Linked DNA regions of Struthio camelus. The protein of the gene in region 1 interacts with the protein of each later gene in a pairwise test. Links are inferred from orthologs where the notes say so. Each region holds a gene or a part of one and is shown on either strand. Other genes may lie near its edges.

The links.
Region 2: the proteins of TAX1BP1 (region 1) and GABARAPL1 interact in binary tests that used the Homo sapiens proteins (3 or more experiments, as listed by UniProt). The link is inferred for Struthio camelus from reciprocal best matches to the Homo sapiens genes TAX1BP1 and GABARAPL1.

The regions. Positions count from the first base shown.
Region 1 is NC_090943.1:39,461,947-39,469,948, forward strand, and holds the start of TAX1BP1 (tax1-binding protein 1), read left to right. Parts: upstream 1-4,993; 5' UTR 4,994-5,158; intron 5,159-5,180; exon of another isoform or gene 5,181-5,542; intron 5,543-5,593; exon of another isoform or gene 5,594-5,714; intron 5,715-8,002.
Region 2 is NC_090942.1:89,401,298-89,408,303, forward strand, and holds the start of GABARAPL1 (gamma-aminobutyric acid receptor-associated protein-like 1), read left to right. Parts: upstream 1-3,983; 5' UTR 3,984-4,376; coding exon 4,377-4,466; intron 4,467-7,006. UniProt on the Homo sapiens protein: Ubiquitin-like modifier that increases cell-surface expression of kappa-type opioid receptor through facilitating anterograde intracellular trafficking of the receptor. Involved in formation of autophagosomal vacuoles.

The sequences.
Region 1 (8,002 bases):
AGAATGCTACAAGGAAAAAAAAAACTTGCAAACATCATAAACAAGAAATGAAACACTCCCCCAGACCTGGGTCTCCAGTGCACACATATTAATTACACACCAGAGAGTAAAGCCTCAGTATGTGCAAGCATTTAATTCACTATTTGCATTTATTAAAAACATTCCTCTTCGCTTTAACAATACAGTAACCCAGCAGTGAAATAACAGCAATTCAAATGTGGTCATTTACAGACATGAGGTTTCTTATGCCCATTGTACAGTGCAATGTTGCCAAGTCTCACACCTTAGGAGTAAGCTCTTGCGCTCTCCTCTCTGTGTCACACATATGCATGCACACACATACAAAATTTACATGTCTGCTCTCACCTATACTCTTTTGGGAAAAGCCACAAATTTCATCAATCTCACTCATACAGATTTAAAAATCCTGGCAGCTTTTGAATAGCTTTTCTTCATCAGTTGCAATTAAGTGCTGGAAAAGAAATCCAAAATATACAGAGAGAGGCTTTCGCCCTAATAGTAAATGTTACCAATAGCGTGCAATTTCTAGTATGTTCCAAAGGTTTGCCACTCCATCTTTCTGAAAGGCAAAGTCTGTATGCCCCGTGATTAGATTTCCGTAAATGCTGAGCAATTCAGGGTTGTCAGCCATAATATAAAACATTATTTATAACTGTTTAACTGTTTCAAGAGTATAGTTAATAGTTTTCTGTAACGTGATCTTAAAGAAGTTGATTAAGTGTGCTTTACAACGTGACCAGAAAGAGCTTCCGATTAGTGACATAGTGATACATATATTTTACATCTCACATGGCCCATACTTTTAAAAGTTGGGAGTGTTGAAATAGGAGTTGAACCAAAATGAAATCAAATCATTAGAACTTGAGCATTTCCTTACCACACTTCATCAATATCATCATGTCATGCCAATACACTGAATATCTACAACATAAAGCACCTTTCTCAGGTACTAAAAATCATAAATATGTAATTTGTCTGTCACTCATACAAAGCAGAGATGGGCCTCAGGGGAAGAACTGAGGTCTGGAACCAAAACTCCTCATGGCTTTGGTTCAGGCCATAATATAGTTAGTAAACAGAAATAATATTAGGATCTGAATCTGAGCACATGTTCAAATACACCCAAGGTTAAACAGACGTGATGGGGCCCCATTTCTAATTTGAAGGCTATAAATTACTAAAGGAGCTCATATTTTTAAAAAGATACTGAAATTACGCAAAAAGTAAACGATTTCCAAATATTCAAAAAAGTCTGTTCCCCAAGAGGCTGTAACATGCCTTACACTTCCTTTGGCCATTCTGTTTAGTGTAGTTTTTATTCGTCACTTATCTCACGCCTGAGAAGGGACTTGTGCAGATTTCATGCGGACAAAGGAAGACTGAATGTAATTACAAAGCAGAGGGATTTTTACACTCTGTAAGTACCAGCCTGAATTTCAAACCTCTTCAGAATCTAGTAATGTTCAAATTCAATAACTGGATTCACATACATTTTTACCTTATTTAGTGTTTCTGTCAAAACCACAATTATCAACTTGCCATTGTTTTTCTGTCCTCATATTTACACGCTTAAGAAATGTAGACACTTAAGAGAAGAGTTCTACCAGCTTTGTATTTCCAAATAAATACTCTGGTGAGATATTTTTCATCAACAATATAAGACAGATATTCTTTAGTAATTGTATATTTATGTAAATAAAAAGAGAGAAAACTGGGGTTTTTTTCAGCCTTAAGAGGAGAAGGCTATAGGGAGATCTTTTTGCCACCTACAGGTAAGTGAAGGATGTATAAAAGATGGAGCCAAACACTTTTCAGAGGTGCACAGAGAAAGAACAAACGGTAACAGATAAAATTGGAATGCAGGAAATTTACAGTTACATATTATATTATATATTACATATTATACATCATATTATATATTACAAATATATTACACATATGTTATAATATTATATATTACAAAAATATACAATTTTTTTTTTTTTTTTTTTACAATTAGAGTTGTCAAACACTGGAACAGGTTCTCTAAGCAGCTGTCAAATCTTCACCCTTGGAGATGCTAAAAACTTGTCTGGCCAAGGCCCCAAGCAACCAGCTCTAATAAAGTTCTGCTTTGGAGGTCACTTCCAAACTTCATGGTTCTGATTCTATGACATACATGCGGCTAATTGTATCAAAAGATACTTGACATTCACTGATTTTGCCTTTCAAAAAATCAAAATATTGGCCAAACACTGATTCTACATGCTTAGAGTACAATTCTGATATACATGATAAACATATGATTTGGTGAAAAATACCGGCTTGATCGACAACCCCCTCCTCCTGTGTTCTCATTTAAATCAGTGGGGCTGAAAAGGTGAAAGTCAAGCCAGAATCTGAGATAGGATTAACACCATCATGCCTGTAACAAGCTTTTCTAATTGAATTAGTGTATTAGTATTAGCCACCCACATGACTCACCAGAAATGTTGATATCAAACTTACAATACTAAGTATTTTGCAGCAAATGTAGGCAAAGACAATAACAATGTTTTGCTACTCAAGAGCAAGCTTTCCAAAATATTTATGTCACATGGATGAATTTCAGGAGATAGTATCTAATCTTCCTTGCCTAGAAAATTCAGACTGATTAAGGCATTTAACCATTAATTCTAAGACCAAGTACAAGTTTCACCAGTGCCAAGCACAATTTTCTCAGTCCAAACCTTTGTTTGTACCAGTACAGACACACTGACTGTTGATCTCGGAGTCACAGTGCACAGCTTGTCAATGTGGGTGAAGTCCTTCATATCTCAAAGCAGGACGAACAAAATAAGAAAAGGCTCTGAACACTCTCTATATAGGATATTTATGAATTCTAGAGGGTGAGGCTGGTATCTAAACTTAGGATACAAATATGTAAATAAGAATGCTAATTAACTCATTTAATTATTTCAGTAAAAAATCTGCTTAATTTGAATAACAGAAGGACCAGTTTTAGACTTACACAATCAAGATACAGAGTTAAAGAAATTACATATTTTTCTGAAAGCTGTGGCTGTAAGTACAAGCAAAGCCAGGATTATTCCTGATCTATTTTTCCTTAATTAGTTTACATTGTACATGTGACAACAGGCATATATAGTTTGTTTTGCCTCCTTATACATGCATTTAGCAATGGAAATAACTTAATACTGAATTATTACTAAACAATATCTCTTTTGGCTGAATGAACATTTACGAACTGAGTACAGAAATACATGAGGATTCTTTAGAAACTCAGAACTGAGGATAAAGTTTTTTTATTAGGAAATGGAGGGGTTTTCCAGGCATTCACTGTAAAAATTACGCTAGTTGCCAAAGAACATCTTTATTTCAAACTACCCATTATATTCCCATAAACTAGCATCATAATGACGTTAAGTGAAAGCAAAACTGCTTGCTAGTGTCATCAACGTTTACACTACCCAGCTAGTGACTGTAAAACCTCCTTTCTTTCCGCATTCCAGACCACAGAACAGTGCCTTGAGACTCTTTAACAGCCCTGTATCACATGTGATACAGGGCAAAGAGCAGTGAGGAGAAAAAATGGAGGACAGAGATAAGAAAAAATAGGTCTCCCCACCTATTTATTGCTTTTCTGATTAACGCATCAGCTTCATTTTCCATTACAAACATCCATCTGGCCTTAAAGGAGAAGACTACCTCCTATACACCTCTCGTGTCTTATAAAAGGATCTGCAAGTAAAATGCAAGGCATTTACTGGTTTCCATGGATAGTGGAATATACGTTTACTGTAAGAATTATGAATTATATATAAAAATCAAAGGGTTACTTACATAATAACCTGTGGTAGAAGTGAAGTCCTAAGAATAATATTTTAATATTGCTTCCAGTGACAAGAAGTGCTAAACAGAAGCAAAAAAAAGATTCATTTTGATTACTTGAAATGACAATTTTAGTGGTCCAGTTTATTTTTGTTTCCGTTAGGACTGACCATGAGAAAGCTATGAAAATCTATGACCATGAAAAACTTGCCAAAAAATAAGGCCTATGGTAAGCCAATAATTTTGTCATAATATGCCTCTCAAAATAAGCTGTTGAGAACATACATGAAAATACAGAAGAAAGAGCGGATCGTAAGGAGGCAAAGGTTTTAAAGACAACTTTCAGTAATGATCCACGTTCAGGGTACTGCAGGAAGTCCAGAATACTGATGATTACAGATAAGTATTTGTTGTCACTCAGCCTCGTTCTTCTGATACACGATCTAACGCTCGACTTTGGATAAAAATCAAGTAGACTCAGTGTATTTATTAGATAATGTACTTTAATGGAGATACGCCAATTTACGCAAGCAGAAGAACTGCATATACTGTAAGTATTTAATATCACTCTTATCTCACTCCTTGGTTGGTTTGGGAAGACCTGCAAAAGCTGGGAGATTAATAGTAGTGACTTATGAGGTGCAAGCACGCGTGTTTTGGATGGAAAAAGAGGTGATAAAATTAGGGTATGTGAGTATTATAGAATGGTCTAAGCAATGGTCTAAGAACTAATATGCAGAGAACTTTTGCAGGGGGCAGGTGCATTTTATGGAAGTAACAGCTGCACAGTTTTGCATATGCTAGGAATACCAGCTTGGCTAGGCTTTCTCACCCCTCTCCTTCCCTGAAGTACGCGCACCGTCTTGCATAACGAAGCAAGCTGTGCAACATGCTTTTTACGTGTGGTGTAAGCCACGGCTCCAGTGCCAGCTGGGCTGACGCTGGCAGGCTGGATACCTAGGGGCTGAACGGGAATGGTAAAGGGCGGGAGTGCCCTGAGATGTGGTGTCCAGGACGTGGCGGGGGGAAGAATCCTTGGAGAAACAGACCTGGGTGTTGCAGCGCCGGGCCGACGTGCGAGAAGCCTCATGACGACGCTAACCGCCGCCGCCCTCCGTCCCCGGGCGGGCCGGCCCGGGCCGGACCTCCGAGCAGCCCTTCCGACGCCCGCCGCCCCACGCCGGCTCCAGCCGGTTCCCGCTAACGGCCCGCCCCGCGGAGGGGGAGGGGCGGGGTTGGAAGTGACGCGAGCGGGAGGGCGGGGTCGTGAGGCGTCGATGGCGGAGGCCCCATGTTGATGTCCCCGGCGTCCTCCGCGCCTGCCTAGGTAAGGGGCCCTCTGCGGCCGGGGGGAGGAGGGGGGGACGACGACGAACGGGTCCGGCGCCTTCTTTCTCTCCTGCTTTCCTCCTCTTCCTCCTGCCGCGGGGGCGGGCGCGCTGTTAAACCCAGGGCTTCTGTTCTGCGCCATCTGGGTGCCTCTCTTCCTCCCCCCCCGCCCAGCTGCCTTGGACGGCTGGTAGTAGTGTGGGGGAGAGAGGAGCCGCGGCCGTTGGGGAGGGCGGCGCGAGGGGCGCGGCGGGGCAGGGGCGGCCGTTGGCCCCCGCCGCGGCAGCTGCGCAGGCGGTGCCGGAGGCTTTGCGGAGGCCGAGGGCGAAGGTGATTCGGGCCGGACAGGCGAGGCCGCGCGGGCGGCCGGCGGGGCAGGCAGGTAGGCCCGCGGAGTGGGAGGGAGGGCCCGGCAGGTAGGGGCCGGCGGAGTCAGGTGCGCCGCTGGCCGGGCCGTGCGGCTCGTCTTGTTTTCGTGTTTCCTGCCAGACAAGCTTGTCCTCCTTCGGTGCTTTTCGGCGTGTTAAAAGCGGAACGCCTCTTTCGGCCTCTCGGTGAGAATGGCTTGTCACGTCAGTAATAAAGCCTAAACGTAGCTCTTCCTCCTCCTCCTCCTCCTCCCCCCCCGGCTTTTCTCACACCGGTAGCTGTGAGCTAACTAAGCAAGCACCGAACATCCCCTAAGCTATTCTTGAACTGTTAGTGGATATCGGCTTCACCTAAGCTCCGAGGATTTTGCTGCTGGTGGACAGTAATCCCAGGTGATTCTGCTGGTCAGCACAAGTTCAAATTCGTAGTTCTGCTTTGGACTTGGAAAACAGATTCCCTTTATTAATGGTTTCAATAAAGATAATGCTCAGCTGTGGTAGCTGGCTGACCAGTATGCAGAAATGAATGCTTTGGGTTTTTTGTAATGTTTTCTTGTAATAAACTTCCCGGTATTTGAAATAGACCTATTTCAAAAAATGTTGAATTCCATTGCTTTTGTTATTAATGCTTTGCTTATTTTTTAACTTATCCTAGGTAACAAAAAACGGATACAGTCTGTTTCATGTCATTATTATTTAGCTTCAGAGACTACTAAATTATTAAAAATGAATGGGTTTATTACACTTGAAAAAAATAGTGACTATTCTGTTTTTTGGGGGGAGGGTTGTAAAAAACAGTTTTTTCTAAAGTTTATGGTTTGGAATGTTTTTGAGAGGTGTCTTGGATATAACTTTCTGATTGGGGGGGAGTGGGAATTTTCAGAGTTGTGCTAAGCTGTAGAACTTGCTACGCTTCTCTGTACCCTGGGGCTCTATAACAGACTGGATTTACGTGTATTCCCAAAAGATGTACTTCTTTATTGTCTCTAAAAAAGTTTTGTCTTTTCATATTTATTCGGATTCTTGTTTGTGTAAGTTTTTATCTTTGTCTAGTCTTTATGTCTGTTAATTTTTACTAGTAAGGCATTTTACATTTTTTTACTTGTGTTGTTCAGGGTACAAAACTGCTTTTTATTTAACATCCAATATACCAAAATAATGCTATGGCTGTCCATATGTACTACGTGTGTTACACTAAATGGGATGGTAAGAGGCTTAAAACACTGAGGGCTTAACTTAAGAGGTAAACAGAGATTTTTTTCTACTTGTTCAGACAGATGAGTATTTTTTTATTCCAGAGTGCATTTTATTTCAGAAAATGTGAGCTTTTCTTATTTCTTCACTGTTGCAAAGAAATTTTAAAAGGCTCTAGGAAATATACAGACAGTTCTTAATTGAGACTTGAAGTGGCCCATCCCTCTTTGGGATTGATTTCGTCATATATCTTCAAAAAATATTATCTCACACACTTGGCAGTAATCTCATTCAGGGTACATATTTGCTTGATCAGCATGAATTTATTTTTAATAGCGGTTGCAAGAACAAAGCAGCTCTTTTGGCCAGAAATGTAGTGTTAAATATATAAGGCCCTAATCCTCCTAATACCAGATGTTTTGACAAACTTATGATTGTAGACTGAAATCAGACAGTTGAAACTTAACCAGTTGTCCATCTTATCTTTTTGACAGAGGTGGCCGAATCTAAGGAAGGGAAGTTCTTGGTCTGTTTATGAAGCATCTCTTGCATTACTGTAGTTTTTTAGGGTAGTGTAACCTGAATGAGGTGGTGAATGTGATAAATGCTTCTACGATCTGGTTGAATTCAGTGTTAATCCATCCAACTTGCATATGCACCTGAATGTTCCCACTATCATCAAGTTCACTGTTTATGGCAGTAAAATTAAAAATGCAGGGCTAGGGGCGTATGTGTTAAAGCACAGTACAAGATGCCCACAGACTTCTATTTTCCTGAAGAGAGTAAACTCTTTGTCTAAACAGTTTTTTTTTTTTTAAATAAACTTTCTTGTTTGTTAAAAATGTCTTAAAATGAAAAATTGTTAGTTTTGCTGAGAGAAAAAAATATTTATACGTAAAAATGCTGTCAAAAGCATTAAGTAGCACAAATTCTGGGAAGAGTTTTAAAGTAAGGAAAATTATGGAACTTTGTTTCTCCTTCCCAGCAAGATTCAGAAACATTAAGTTTATTTCATGCAAGTCAGAACCCTTCTTGATTTTTTTCCTATCACTGCTTTTGCTCCCTACTTTCTGCTGCTGTTTCTGAGGTATAGTGTTGGGGGCATTCAGCCCAGGGATGTCTTTTCTGTGATGACACCAATATGAAGAGATGGCTACTCTTTCATTATGAGAAGTGATTGTTTTGGAGTGATGCTGAGGCAGTGTGCTTGGGAGACCTTGACCTATTGCTGTCTGGTTTTGGAACAGCAGAATTAGTTCTTAAACTTCTGTCTTGTACAT
Region 2 (7,006 bases), on another chromosome or scaffold:
TTAAAAAAAGTCAGCCTCAGGAGCTACAAAAGGAAAAAAATATCCAGGGGGAGGTACTAATACAATAAATATTCAAGGAGATTCAGAGTTTCAAGCAGCTGACAGGAATAAACAGCAACTCCAGCAAGTTCCCAAGAGACATCCACCTGGATAACACCTCCAAGACACCTAGGGCAAACAATAGGGATATTTTTACTGTGAAGTTATTGAATTTTAGTCATTAGTGCAGATACACCCAAGTCAGTTTCACCTCCCAGTACTGCACTGCAAAGCTCCTAGGAGTGCTCCTGGAGCGCTGTGTTGTACAGCATGGGCTACAAAACCATCTGGGAACCTGCATAAATATTTTTATCTCCTGTTTATCTGGCTACAACACTGGCAATGCAATCTCTTTCAAAGTGAACCTATCTGCTCACATGATCTGCAGACACAGCAATGTGCTACAAGTTCAAACTGTTCAGACATTCTAGGTTAAAAGTACATTGTTTGGCCACTTTGTGGACCAGTTTGTGCTGGGCATCCAGTGTGGGAAAACCAGCGAACCTCATCTCCAATTCCTCCTTTTAGCACACAGACCTAGAACGTGGGGTTTGTCACATGCATATGGCTTGGCATTTTAATAGGAATTCAAAGTCAGATGATTACCTGCTTGTCACTTCTTCTGCATGTATCATCTTCCTGCTTGCTGTTGTGGCAGTGACGTTACTGTTATTATTGAATAAGTGGAGACAGTTGGGAATTCAGTGCCTGACAGGGAGGAAGCAGGAAGTGGGAGGAGTGAGTCTTGTGGCTGCACATCTAGGGCTGCATCTTCATGGCAGAAACAGTTCCGTAAGGAGATTTGTGATCCCAACACAGGATTTGTTGGGGAGGAAGAGCCACCTGGCAATGCTCTCACTGGCTATACCAGAGCAGGGAAGAACACCAAAGCTCCTCCCTGGTTTGTCAACAAAATTTCAAACAAGAGCCTTGTCCAACTGCTCTGTATATAGTCCTGTAGTGGGACACAGCAATTACAGCAGGACAACAGGAGAACTGATTTGTTAAAATGGACAGAATAGGTTGGCAGTCTGCGTGAAATAGGCTGGAAAAATTCCGTTCTCTTGTGTCCTTGAGGAAAAGGCATCTACACCATTACACACCTTCAATACACTTGCCAACTTTTGTGCTGCATGCAATTAGGAGGCAAGGAGGAGGACAAACACGGGTAGTACAGAAAGGTGCTGCGCCATGAAACTAGAATTTTCCCCAGGTGTAACCCCTGGTCTTTCTTCAGTCTAGGCCTTGCTATGGTACTGCACAAAAATGATCCCTTGTTTCTGACTCACCATTCTGAGATCCTCTGACACTACCTGCAGCCACGGGGAAGTATTCACATGTCTTGGGACAGACAGAAACAAGCTGATGATGCTTCCTGTACTAATAATGTGCATATGAACTAGTGAAGGCTGAGACACACTGATCTATGCCATTCCCACTGCACTGCAGTACCATTAAGAGGTGCTGGTACGTGCCTATTGGAATAGATTGTTGTGCTATGCAGAAAGTCACATTATACAGTGTGGAGCAGTAAAAACTTAGACACAAAAGCCTCTGCCAGAGTCCGTGAGGGGTACACGAACATCCGAAAGTAGATGTCTATATTCAGGAGAGAAAAATCACAACCCATGCCTATTTATCTCCGTTGACTCTAAAGGCAACTTAAGATGACAAGCTCAGCTGTATGCACCCATGCTGTTAAGTGTAGGTGAGATTTCTGATTCACTTTCTCATGCCAGACAAGAGTACCTGGAAACTGCCACCATCTGAACGTACCTGCATCAAAGAAAATTTATTTCCGCCACACCTATCTTACCCATATGCAAAATCAAGGAGATTAGGGTGCAACAGGGCTTGGAGAAAGAAAACTATCAAAGGACCTCTGAGTTCAGGCTCAGAGGCTGCCTGCTTTTGAAAGCAAAAGTGGATAGTATATGACACAACTCTCTACAAGGCAGAGGGGACAGACTAATATCCTGGATATGCTGTGGAAATTTGTAACAGGCTCCTTCCTAACCCTGGTGTCAGCATCTCAGTTGCACCCTGCAGGCAACTCAGGTGTGCATATTAGTAATATAGAGATACAGCCACCAGTAGTGTCTGAACTATGAGTTACTTGGGGCAACTAAAGGATTTATGTGAGTACCTCTAGAAAAAGACCAGAGTTTTATGCACCCTTGACTCTGTTTTTATCACTAAGGAACATCTTTGATCCAGCTACTGCTTACTCTTCAATTTCTTTCTTTTTTTTTGTTTTTTTGTGCTTCCAGAATCAAGCTGACTCTTCACTTTAGTCTGGATTTCTTCTGCATTGATCACGCGCTAGAAAGAGGGTGCCTGCAAAATAGCAACGTTTTTTCTTATCCTGGTTAATTCTGATGCAACACATTGGCAGAACGTTGAATGAGATATGGGGAACCCAGGTTCTCTCACTTATGCCACTGGTGTAGCCTTGGACACATCAAGCATTCAAGGCAGTTCATTGTCCTGCTCAGCACCTCCTACTTCAATTAAAATTACTACACAAATAAAAGATAATCCTTGAAAAAGTTCTGCTCCTCTGCATGAGGCATGAATTGAGAGACTTAGAACATTTTGATATGCTCCCATTCAGTTGTTCATTTTCCCCAGGATAGCAGCAATTAATTTTTGTACTGATTTGAGCATGGTGATCCATTCATTAGTACCTTCCTTTCTTCTAGTCACTAAATACTGTGAGCCTAACTGCCCCCCAAAAACCCAAAGATATTCCAAATATGTTATCTGTTGAGTAACTGGGCTAAAATTGCCCCACTGCTTTGGCTTGTTTGCAAACAGTTCACTTTAACTGTGTGCTGTTTGTAATGTGCCTCTGGTCAGGTGCATTACACATCACACTTTCCGCCCCTTATTATTTAACTGAAACTTCATAAACAGGAGAATAATCCAGACCCAATAATGACAATGTTAGTCACTAAAACTTGTATTTTTTTCCTCTTAGATCTGGCAGCCACTTAAATAGGTCAGTCTCGTCACCTCTGTTTTAAATAAGTGGAAGCAGAGGCATTCAAGCATTACTTGGGGAAACTGAGGCCTGGGGACATGCAGCAGCTGATCCAGGCCAGAGCCCTGCAAGCCATGCTCCACAGCCCCACTGCCCACCTTCACGGCCATCAAAGGGAAATTCTCCGAATTTGCCCTGTTCTTAAGATAGGTCGGGGGTTGTCCAAGTGCCAATGAATTACAGATCCGCTAGCTGCTGTGAGCCTTGCCGTGCAGCTCTTTTTGTGACAGCGCTCCCCGGGCTGTGTGCCTGCCCACTCTGCTCCCAGGGCAGGGAGCCCCCGGCCAGGGCAGCTGTCCCTTCATGGGCCTTGTACACCACGGTGTGTTAAACAGCACTGGCAAGGAGGGAGAAGCAGCATGGCTGCCTGCAACCCGCAGAGATGGATATCTCCGTTCATGCGGCTGCTCGGCTGTATTCATAACCCCTGAGTCATGCTGGAGATAGTGACACTGCTCAATTATAGGCTCATTTTGCCTTTGTATTGTGTTTGGTGGGGGGAGGGGGAATGAGGCGACAACCAGTACAGTACAGTAAAAAATATATATATATAATAATAACAATGATTAAAAAAAACCACAACCCTGCATGGCACGGAGTGTGACACAAGCCCTGCGCAAGAGAGGGAGCAAGAGCTGCAGCTGTCACCTGCTCCCAAGCGAAAGCAGGCCCCAACTCTGCCCGCTGCCTTGCACGGCGCTGACCCCTTGCCCCGCGCCCCGCGGCTGCCCGCGCTGCAGGGCGCGGACACCGCCGTGCCCTTGTCCTGCCGCACTGTTATGATTTTGCCGCATGCCGCCCTCCCCCCGCCAAGGCAGTGGTTTCGCCCGGGAGCCCTTTGTAGCGAGGGCGTCGCCCACGAGCTGATGGGGGGGTACCCTGCGCGCCCCCTACCCGCCGTGGGGCGCGGGCCAGCCCCTGCTCCCGCCCGCGGGAGCCTGGCGCTGCCGCGGGGGCGCCGGAGGGACGGGCCGGTAGAGACCGCCGTCGTCGGCCCCGCACGCTGCGGCAGCCGCTCCTCCTCCCCCCCCCCTCGGGTGCAGTGGAACCGTCTGGAATGACGGCAGAGGTGCCTCCCTGTGACGTCACAATGCCCGATTTGCCCCAGCGCTGTTTCTGTGTTCCAGGGCGGCCGCGTCCTGCCGCAGGTGGGCGCGGCGCGGCGCGGGGGTCGCAGCGGCCGCGCAAGCTCCGCACGGCTCCGTGGCCCGCTGCGTTGCGAAGTGCCCAGTCGTAGCTCACGAAGCGGCAGCAGCCCTCGGAGGGGCAGCTGACGCTTGGGCAGTACACCAGCATGAAGTTCCAGTACAAAGAAGACCATCCTTTCGAGTACAGGAAAAAGGAAGGGGAGAAAATCAGAAAGAAATATCCCGACAGAGTCCCTGTGAGTGCGGTGTGTGAATGTATACTCGGACAGCAGCAGGGGATTGCAAGATTGCTGCTTGCGGGGCTTGCCTTACATGTCATGCTGCCATTCTGCCTCTCTTTGTTCTCATTATCAATTGTTGTCCTTTTTTCCCCCCCCTTTATTAAAGGGAAAGCAAATTAGATTAGTAAGCATGATGTTTACCTTGCTGTTCTAAATCCAGCCTGCTTTTCTCTTTAGTGCAAACCTATGATTATTTTTTATGTTGGTCTCTATTAGCAGTAGGTATGAGGATGGCAGGGTGTAATATACCCTCCCTCTTTCAGGAATCTGCAGCAATTTGACAGCTCGAATGCTGCTAATCTTTCTATGGCAGCCTGTGTGCATGGGGCTGGGGGGTGGGGAAGGAGCTTATCATCTGCTCTGTGAAAATGGAGGAGAACAACGAGTTTACCATGTACTCTTCATAGAAAACTAGAGCTGTATCCATGTTGTCAGATATGTTCCCTTTATTTTTTATTTTACTTTCTTTTGGCCTGTCTTTTCAGTATAGTCTTGTTCTGTTCTTGTGCTTTACATGAGAGAAAAACGACACTAATTTCTTAGCCTTCTGCCCTCCTGTTTAACCTTCTTATGGAAAAAGCATCACTTAGGAAACAAGGTTTTGATCTCTTAGCCAAACTTTACTTCCTCCTCCTTAGGTCCCTTTGGAATGCCTGTGGAAGGCTTCTAGTTTTATAATTACTGGTAATAATTGGAAAAAAAGAAATGATATATCAAATTAATTGTGTGGGTTTTTTTTTCCTATTAAATGTTTTGCAAATGTTCTTTCTTTCCATCCCCACTGGAGAGATCTGTCCTAGATTTACTGTCCGGGGTACTGAACTGAGACTCCCCTGTGAATCTAAGCCTAAGGGAAAACAGTTATGCTACATGTTTTCCGGAGAGACCAGCACCATTTTGTATCTTAGAGTGGCCTACAGCTGGGCTTGTAAAAATGCTGGAAAGTCAGAATTTGGGTGCATTTGGCTGAGCTGCAAATTCAGGGACCCTTGGCCTAGCATAGCACGTTGAGAATACAGCTAGACAATGATGAAGTGGACACTCTTGCGAGTTTTAAGATGAGGACCACAGAAAATGCTCTAGGTCAGAAGTGAGATAAACTATAAACTGAAGATTAGCATGGCAGTTTGTGCTCCAGATCCTGAGAGATGTGTCCAGAAAAGCCATATGTGGGGAGCCAAGGACCAGACCTGGTCTGGCAAGAGGTAAACGAGATCAAGGTAGAGGGGCATGAGCAGAACTGTAGGGAAGAAACTGGGACCCAAAGAGCAAGGTGTGCTGCAGTTAAGGATAAATGAGAAAATCTGCATGGGGAGGCCCAGATGTGGATTATGAGGGGGAAGCCTGTTGAGAGAGCTGCATATGGAACAGATGAATGCAGCTGACAGGGTTCTTTGCATCACATGTCTCTGCCCTTCCTGACAGCAGGATCCTTGAAGACGACATCCCTTTGGCTGCCTACATGGTAGTGCCCTGATGCATCTCAGCGTTTTGCTGAGATTATAATGTTGGCACAGTCCCATGTTACCGCTGACACCACCCAGCAACAACAAATATGCAGATAATCTGTTGCTACACTTTGGATTTTCTTTGTCGGGGTAGGGGGGGAGGGGGTGTGTGCATGCATGGGTGCGTGAAGGTTTTAGTACTTCAGAAAGAGATACCTGTGTTACCAGGCAAACTAACTGCTGTTGATAATCAGTTTAGCAAAGCACCTTCTTTCCTGCTCTGCTTCTTTGCAAGAGGGAGACTTGTTAAGCTCAGTGATTATCTAATTTGAATGCTTCCTGGGGATTTAGAAGCCCCAGCATTCTCCCTTCTTCCTCACAGGCACGATATACCTTTGGATTTCACCACCATCTTCTTTTCCTTTATTATCTAACAACCAATTACGATCTATCCTGTTGGGTCAGGATGGGCATATCACTGCTGCTGGCTAACAGTTCTACGTGTCTGCAGTTTTGGTAATTGTGAAGAAAGAAAGGTTTCTTTTCATTGCAATTTATTGTGTTAGATAATGCCTTGTAGTATGTGTGGGTAAAAGAACCTGCAAAGTGCTATTGCTGTTGAGCCGACATCTATTCAGTGAGATCTTGAAACTATCCTTCCTTCACAGCATTGTCCTATGTCAATTGCCTCTGCATAGAAATACATATCCTATCACAACGTATCTCAGAGAGCTTGAATGACTTGTACTAATCGAGGTGCTTGAAAAATCAGGTTCTTGAAAAGGCAGTGATGGCCATACTTCTATTTTAAAAACAAATTTAAATTTTCAGGACTTTGGGCCATGTTGAAAGCATCCAAATGAGGCACAGTGAAGAGATGGCCAAGTTAGTATCTCTATGGTGAGGCATTCTTTGCAGATACTCACTTGGTGTAGATAGAGTAGACCTGGATTATTATGGCACTTTGCCCAGGCTAAAACAGGCCCATCATCATAACACAGGAAACGCCATCTGAACATGAGAAAATGCTTCTTCACTATGAGGGTG